Linked DNA regions of Arabidopsis thaliana. The protein of the gene in region 2 interacts with the protein of the main gene of each other region in a pairwise test. Each region holds a gene or a part of one and is shown on either strand. Other genes may lie near its edges.

Region 1 (3,757 bases), on a different chromosome or scaffold from region 2:
CATCACTGCTTATAGCCAACAACAACGAGCAAGAACCATTTATAAACAACAAACATGATTGAGGAGGAGATGAGTGTTTGTGAAAAACCAACAACATTTCAGATCAGACTTAGATACAGACCTTAGGTACTTTTTCTGCCAATCATTGGTTTCCTGCATCTTAGACCATAAGTTGACACATCGCAGACCGAGTTCCTCGGCCAATGCAACACAATGTTGTGCATATACCCCTGTTGTTTCGTTTGTTCTCTCAGGCTCTTTCATAGCTTTCTCACCGTAGATTGATCTGATGTAACACAATCACTGGCTCATTTAAGAAACATGTCGGACTAAATGCTTTGAGAAACAAAAATGCAAAGAAGAAAAGGATCATAATAAAGCCTACTCTGCATAACTTTGACGTCCAGCTTCATCAATTGGTGGTGGAGTTATAAGCACAATTAGCATTGTAGGTGAACATTTCTACAAAACAGAGTCATTAGTCTTTAAAGGAATCACACTTCAAGAAAAGTAAGTCCATGCATTAGAGTGGATCAAAGAAGCATATCAAAACCTTCAAATGCTGAACAATCTTTCTGACATTATCTGTGTACTCTTCCACCGGCACATGTTGTCTATCACTGGTTCTTCCTTTGAGAGCTGCATCGTTTGCACCGAAGAATATCGTCGTAGCAACAGGAGGAGACGAAGAGCCCTAGGCAAAAAGACAGAGTAGAACACATACTGAGATAGGCACACCAAAACAACACGCACTACAAGAAGAGTTCTCATGATATATGCAGATGTAATTGCCTTTTACCATCTCAAAATTCAAATCTAAATCTTTCGTACTTCAACCAATCCATGACAATGTCATAAAACCAACACATCCTAGAATCATATCAAAACCATTCAGAACTGAACCATAACAAGCATAAGCAAAACAAAAAATGATGCACAAGAGACAATAACTCAAGATCTATATCCACACAGATCATACACACAATCACAACAGCTCATGAACAAAATCATCCCAATGACTACCAAAATTCGTTCGTGTTTAGATCAAATTTCAAATCAACATTTGTAGACTCGAGGGAGGGAGAGAGAGATAAAAAGTACTGACGAGAGGGAAGATGTGATGAAGCAAGAAGAGAGCCCATCGGGTGTTGTAGCCGCCGTAGCCTCGAACCACAACATCAGCCTTGCGAGAGTAAGCGTCGGCAAGAGCAGATCCCCAACCGCCGGACCTAAAAGACTGCGCCGTGATCGAGTCGCCGAACAGAACTATCTCCGGCCTCATCTCGCTGTCTCCCTCCGGTTCACTGAGTAAACCGTTAACTGTATTAGGAAACTTAAAGTCTCTTCTGGGCCAAATCATATGGGCCGGGCCTTTAGTATTAATTTGTTATATTTTTGGTGAATGAAAAGGTGGTAATCTAAAGAGGTTTTACTAATTGTAGATTAAGGATGCGTGTAATGTTTTAGTATTAGTTTATGATTTCTTGATTTCACATTTTTCTGTCTTGAGCTTAAGTCAAAACCTCAAAGTGAACTTCTACGTAGATGAAGTATTGAAGTGTAGAAGTTAAATGCGTGAACTTCCACAATTCAACTACAAACACACTTTTACCAAAAAAAACTACAAACACACACAAATAATTTAAAAATAAAAAAAGAATTCTACAAGTTATTGAATATCGGTTTGGGTCGGTTAAATCTTGCATCCCATTCCAAATTTTCTGGTTTGTTCTTCGTTTTGACTAAACTTGAACCGATTGGTTTGACTTTATTTCGGTTTTTTGTTTTAACTTATTTAATAATAAAAATCCACCGAACTATTATTTATATAAAATATAAAATAAAGATTTTGAAAGCAAATTGACAAAATCTTAAAGATATGCAAAATCTCTCGATTTCATTCATATTTTTTCCCTCTTTTATTTCTTTCTTTCTTTCTTTCTACTTATATAAATGGCCCAACCACTGCCACCATGGTTTCACATCATATCTTTCTCTTCCTTTTTCTTCCAAATCCTCCAACATTCGTTGATCAATGGCTGAAGTTATGCTACCGAGGAAGATGGAGATTCTCAACCATTCTTCAAAGTTTGGATCACCGGATCCTCTTCATGTTCTTGCCGTCGACGACAGTCACGTTGATCGTAAATTCATCGAGCGTTTGCTCAGAGTATCTTCTTGCAAAGGTAATTATTACTCATATTTTGAAAAATCAGTCTCTGAATTCGGGCAAGTTATCTGAGTAAAAAGCTCTGTTTTGGTTGTTCAGTTACTGTTGTTGATAGTGCAACAAGAGCTCTCCAATACCTTGGTTTGGATGTTGAGGAAAAATCAGTCGGTTTTGAGGTATAAAACAATTTCCAAGAGAAAACAAAATTTTGCCGTAGCTCTCAAGCAATATGTTAAATCGTGATTTGTGCTTCAGGATTTGAAGGTTAATTTAATTATGACTGATTACTCAATGCCCGGTATGACTGGATATGAACTCTTGAAGAAGATCAAAGTAAGCAAACAAACATATAATGATATAATTAGTCAATGGAATTTGAGTTTTATGTTTATCTAATCCTTTTTTACGTGATTTTCCACAGGAATCCTCAGCTTTTAGAGAAGTACCGGTGGTAATTATGTCCTCCGAGAACATTTTGCCTCGTATTGATAGGTATAAAACTTCATCATAATCTTAAGTCAAACTATAGTAAATTTGGTGAATATCTTTGTCTTAGATGATCAAAAAAAGAATTAGATAAAACAAAAAGGGATTAGATCACAAAGTAAAGTTCCTGCTCATATGGTTAAAAGTTAATTTCCTTAAACCATTTTTGGTGGTGGATATTGCATAATTAAACAAATGTTGAGATTTGGTGATCTTTAATGGGTCCCAAGATGATTTTGTGTATAAAGATGTTTCTAACCAGCAAAATCTTTACTTTGGGATTTGATTCTATTTCTGGTGATGTGATATTACAATAAAATAAGTACATGATCTTGCTTGCCTAATATTTGGTAGGGTATTGTGAAAGCCACCTCACATGCTTTTTCACTTTGCATACAATATTAGGAAACCTCTAGACCAAATAAAATAAAAAGGAATATGTATTTGTGTTACACACAATGGCCAACTCAATTACGAACTGGCCATTTTATGATTGTTTGCTACATATACAACAAAAAAAAAACTTATTGATCCAAAGCTATCATCAACTTTATTGAAATTGGAGTTTACTCAAACTGATTTTCTTGTGATTATTATTTTGTCATTCAGATGTCTTGAAGAAGGGGCTGAAGATTTCTTACTGAAGCCGGTAAAACTCTCGGATGTAAAAAGATTAAGAGATTCTCTAATGAAGGTTGAAGATTTGTCTTTCACAAAGAGTATTCAGAAGAGAGAGCTAGAAACAGAGAATGTCTACCCTGTTCACTCGCAGCTCAAACGCGCAAAGATCTGAGCTCTCCGATGCAAATTCCGTGACTGGATCTTAGAAAAAGCCTTTTCATATACAGAAGCTTCAAGACTCAATGCACTTGAGCCTACACTGATGATTCTCGCCAGCTTAATGACCTATACAATTTTCCAACCCCTATGGCCTTTTTCGCTGATTGAATTCAGTGGGTTTATTCATATAGTAGTAATGTAAATGGTATAGAGATGAGCAAAAGCTATATTATATATTATATTCATTAGAGGGGTCATAGCTTTTTTCCTTACAAGAGATTTGTAAGCTGGCTTAATAGAAGTTGTTAAGAAGCCTCACTT
Region 2 (3,757 bases):
GACAACACATGGAAGAAGACGATGAGGTAATCATCAATTACTGTAACAAAGAGAGGTTTAAGACACTAAACCATCTTTTCTTTTTTACAAAACTCCCAAAGTGCAATTAAAGAAAAAGCTCCTTTCGTGTTGTTTGTCTGTTTATAGAGAGAGATTTGGAGCTACTTTTTTGGTGTTTTCTTCTGTGGTTTTTTGTGTTTGGTTCAAAATGATGGTCTTGACTCTTGACAAAACCAGTTTGGCTCTTGTTGTAAAATCTGTTAGTTTATATAAAGACTTTTCATTTTTGTGTAATTGGGACTTGTCGAAGAAAATAACGAATGTTAGTGCGAAATCTAACAACATTCAACCAAATGAAGGTGATATGATGGGCCAAGAAACGTGGGCTGGATTAGGCGTTATCAGGCTTCAACAGCTCAGTTAGATTATAATAAGATTAGAAGTCACGTGAGTGAAGAGACATGACATGTAATGTGAAATTACGAAGTCGAACACTTTGCGTCTTGGGGTAATCGTTAGGGTTAGGTTTCGTGTTCTACGAAGCAAAGAGCATAAGAGACAGAGAGGCATCTTTTGGGAAAGCGGTGGTCGCCGTATCTCAATTGAACCAAAAATTAACCAATCTCAAGACCGATCCGATTCTCTTTGTTCCCTCTCTCTCTGGGTCTCTTGGTGTTCTTTTAATCTTTTTTACTCTTTCCCGTTTCACGCATTTTGTCCACTCGTGTTTGGCGGCACACGACATCCTCCAACAAGATTATTGAATTGATATTCTTAAAACTCATCAATTTGATTGTTTTCCTTTTGTTGAACGAGTGAGGTTTATAGAAAACACAGTTGATATTTCATGTTTGTAATAAAATGAAATGAATGTTGGTAAATAAGATAATGAAACTCAAATAATAGTATATATAAACATAAAACGTACAATTTATTTATTCTTAATATTTTTTTTTTTAGTTGAGAGCTTATAAAATTAGTATAAAAACGTTACACATTTTGACGTACCCCATTACGATAATTGATCCAAAAATGGGTCGGCCGATCAAATTTAAAATTATTTGATACAAAACCTTACTTTGAAAGCAAAAAAAACATAGATCTGTTCTTGGAGATAACGTAACTTCGTTATTTGATCCAAAATTAGATAAAAAGAGAAAGAAGATAAAGGATAAAGAAATAAGAGCTTAGAGCTACAGAGTGTACTCATTTGATGGGTTCATTCTCTTTGTACCCTTTTTCTTTTAAATTTTAAATTTTGGTTGGAGTTTGCTTCTTTGACTAAATCAATAGAAACATAGAATAACTCTCACCAAGCTAAAGAAAGAACACAATGTAATTGCTTTAAAATCATTGCAAAGTATCTCACTTTGTCTTTATTCCTTTTTAGTTCACTTATAACTTGAACATTGGCTAGTTTTGTTCTTTTAACTCCTTAAAAGCACCGATCTTGGCGATTACGATCTCTCATGCTTGACCACAATCGTAACAACAATATTCAATCACATACAAAACAAATTTTTTGATTAAGGTTAAAAACAACATAATTATACGTCATATACAACATTTTATTTGTATTATTACGACTGTCGTTAGAGAGCCACTGAAATTGTAGTGCGGTGAACATTAACAGTGTCGCACACTATTTGAATTTAGAACATAAAATGGATTCATGCATATATGAGAGTATGACACGTCGAATTGGTGAAGCGAGCGATGACGTGTGGAAGAAGAGATTCGGAAAGAGAAGGAGCGTTTAATTTCGAGATGATCGTGATCAGAGAGAGACCAGATCCTTGGAAGACCGTGACATTGCCAGTCACGTGCCTCTTTTTTGACTACCTTCCTCTCTGCTGCTTTAACTGCAGATGTACTTATCATTTATTTTCTTACTTTACCATTTAAATAATATATCAAAACACTGTAGTTTGCTTAGCATTGTTAAACAAGACTACTCACTTGGTACTTGGTCGTGGAATATTATACGGTATGCAATGAATTTGCATAATAATCTAGATTCGGAGCAGTATCATTAATTAATTTTGTTAGGTTAAAACGTTTTGTTATTAAAAATCGCTTAGAACTGAACAAAAACCAACACATATTTAGAATATTCATTGCAACATCTTTGTAGACAAACTAAAGGAGCAAATTCACATGTAAATCTAAAGAACAAAAGAATAAAGCATAGATTAATCATACACACATAATAAGACCGGGACCAAATTTTCCTCTTTTGCCAAGTTCCCAAATTCTCTATAAATACTTCTTGTCTCCATTTCACAACAGCAACGTGGACTCTTTCTTTGTTTTGGCTGACTCTTCTTTCACCGTTTCCTTAGAGAACTTATTCATCTCATAAACACCACACACAACACACACTTCTCTTTCTCCTTCTCTCTATATATTTTAATATCAACTTTCTAGGGTTTCCAAGTTCATATATAGTGATGGGTTTCTCAATGTTCTTCTCCCCCGAAAACGACGTCAGCCATCATTCCTCTCCATATGCTTCTGTTGACTGCACTCTCTCACTTGGAACTCCCTCCACTCGCCTCTGCAACGAGGATGATGAACGTAGATTCTCGTCTCATACCTCCGACACCATAGGCTGGGACTTCTTGAACGGTTCCAAGAAAGGCGGTGGAGGCGGCGGACATAACCTCCTCGCTCGCCGTTGCGCCAACTGCGACACCACTTCTACTCCTCTTTGGAGAAACGGTCCAAGAGGTCCCAAGGTATTTAATATGTAACCTTTACATCAAATATTTTATCATTTCTTGATGTGGGACTAATATTTCTCTCTGTACAACAAAACAAATATTGATAATAACTTTATATGATTTTTAATTTGGTCAGTCGTTGTGTAATGCGTGTGGAATCCGATTCAAGAAAGAAGAGAGACGTGCATCGACCGCCAGAAACTCGACCTCCGGCGGAGGATCAACTGCAGCTGGAGTTCCAACTTTGGATCATCAAGCAAGTGCAAATTATTATTATAACAATAATAACCAATATGCTTCATCGTCGCCTTGGCACCATCAGCATAATACGCAGAGAGTTCCATATTACTCGCCGGCCAATAACGAATACTCATACGTTGATGATGTCAGAGTTGTTGATCATGACGTCACAACCGACCCGTTCTTGTCTTGGAGGCTTAACGTCGCCGACCGGACCGGCCTTGTCCACGATTTTACGATGTGATGAGTGATCATTTCATAGATATTCCCCTTATAAGTCTTAGCCTTGGATACCTTTTAACAAAAAAGAAAAGTCTTAGCCTTCGTTAAATTCTTTATTTTACTTTCCTTTAAATATAAATATTTAATGTCTTTTTTTGGTCTCTGTGTAAGTGTTTTTCTTAAATTTATAATTCGTATGATGGATGCTACTTGTGTTTTCCTTGCATGACTTTTAAAATGTTCTCTCGGGTAATGAACTAATAATTCGTGACTTTATAACCTTTACATGATGTGTGTCCTACTTTGACCACGATTCAGTGATATACTATACATATACAGAATACATATTCATTCCTTTAATTTCTTTTTAAAGCATCTTTGGGTTTTTGTACGGAGAATGTGAATATTTTGGGATGCAGATACTATCTTCACAAATACTTATATCTTAAACGTTTAATTTGTGAGTTTCTTTTCCAAATTGAAATAATCAAATACTTGGACCGAATTTGAAAATTAAGCCAACAAATATCTGCAGGGTGGCCAAGCTGAATGTTTGTCGTGTTTTGCCCAAA

Evidence for each region. The genes of interacting proteins can lie anywhere in the genome.
Region 1: the proteins of GATA19 (region 2) and ARR6 interact in a two-hybrid assay, tested with the Arabidopsis thaliana proteins (one large-scale study listed by BioGRID).

What each region holds. Positions count from the first base shown.
Region 1 is NC_003076.8:25,252,437-25,256,193, reverse strand, and holds the start of ARR6 (response regulator 6), read left to right. Parts: upstream 1-1,875; 5' UTR 1,876-2,035; coding exon 2,036-2,186; intron 2,187-2,269; coding exon 2,270-2,346; intron 2,347-2,425; coding exon 2,426-2,503; intron 2,504-2,591; coding exon 2,592-2,662; intron 2,663-3,265; coding exon 3,266-3,449; 3' UTR 3,450-3,757. Other genes in the region: AT5G62930 (SGNH hydrolase-type esterase superfamily protein), read right to left, coding at 1-5, 122-286, 386-462, 554-694, 1,106-1,360. UniProt on the Arabidopsis thaliana protein: Functions as a response regulator involved in His-to-Asp phosphorelay signal transduction system. Phosphorylation of the Asp residue in the receiver domain activates the ability of the protein to promote the transcription of target genes.
Region 2 is NC_003075.7:17,268,356-17,272,112, reverse strand, and holds GATA19 (GATA transcription factor 19), read left to right. Parts: upstream 1-2,113; 5' UTR 2,114-2,450; coding exon 2,451-2,738; intron 2,739-2,859; coding exon 2,860-3,207; 3' UTR 3,208-3,424; downstream 3,425-3,757. Other genes in the region: EMB2754 (Vacuolar sorting protein 39), read left to right, coding at 1-25. UniProt on the Arabidopsis thaliana protein: Transcriptional regulator that specifically binds 5'-GATA-3' or 5'-GAT-3' motifs within gene promoters.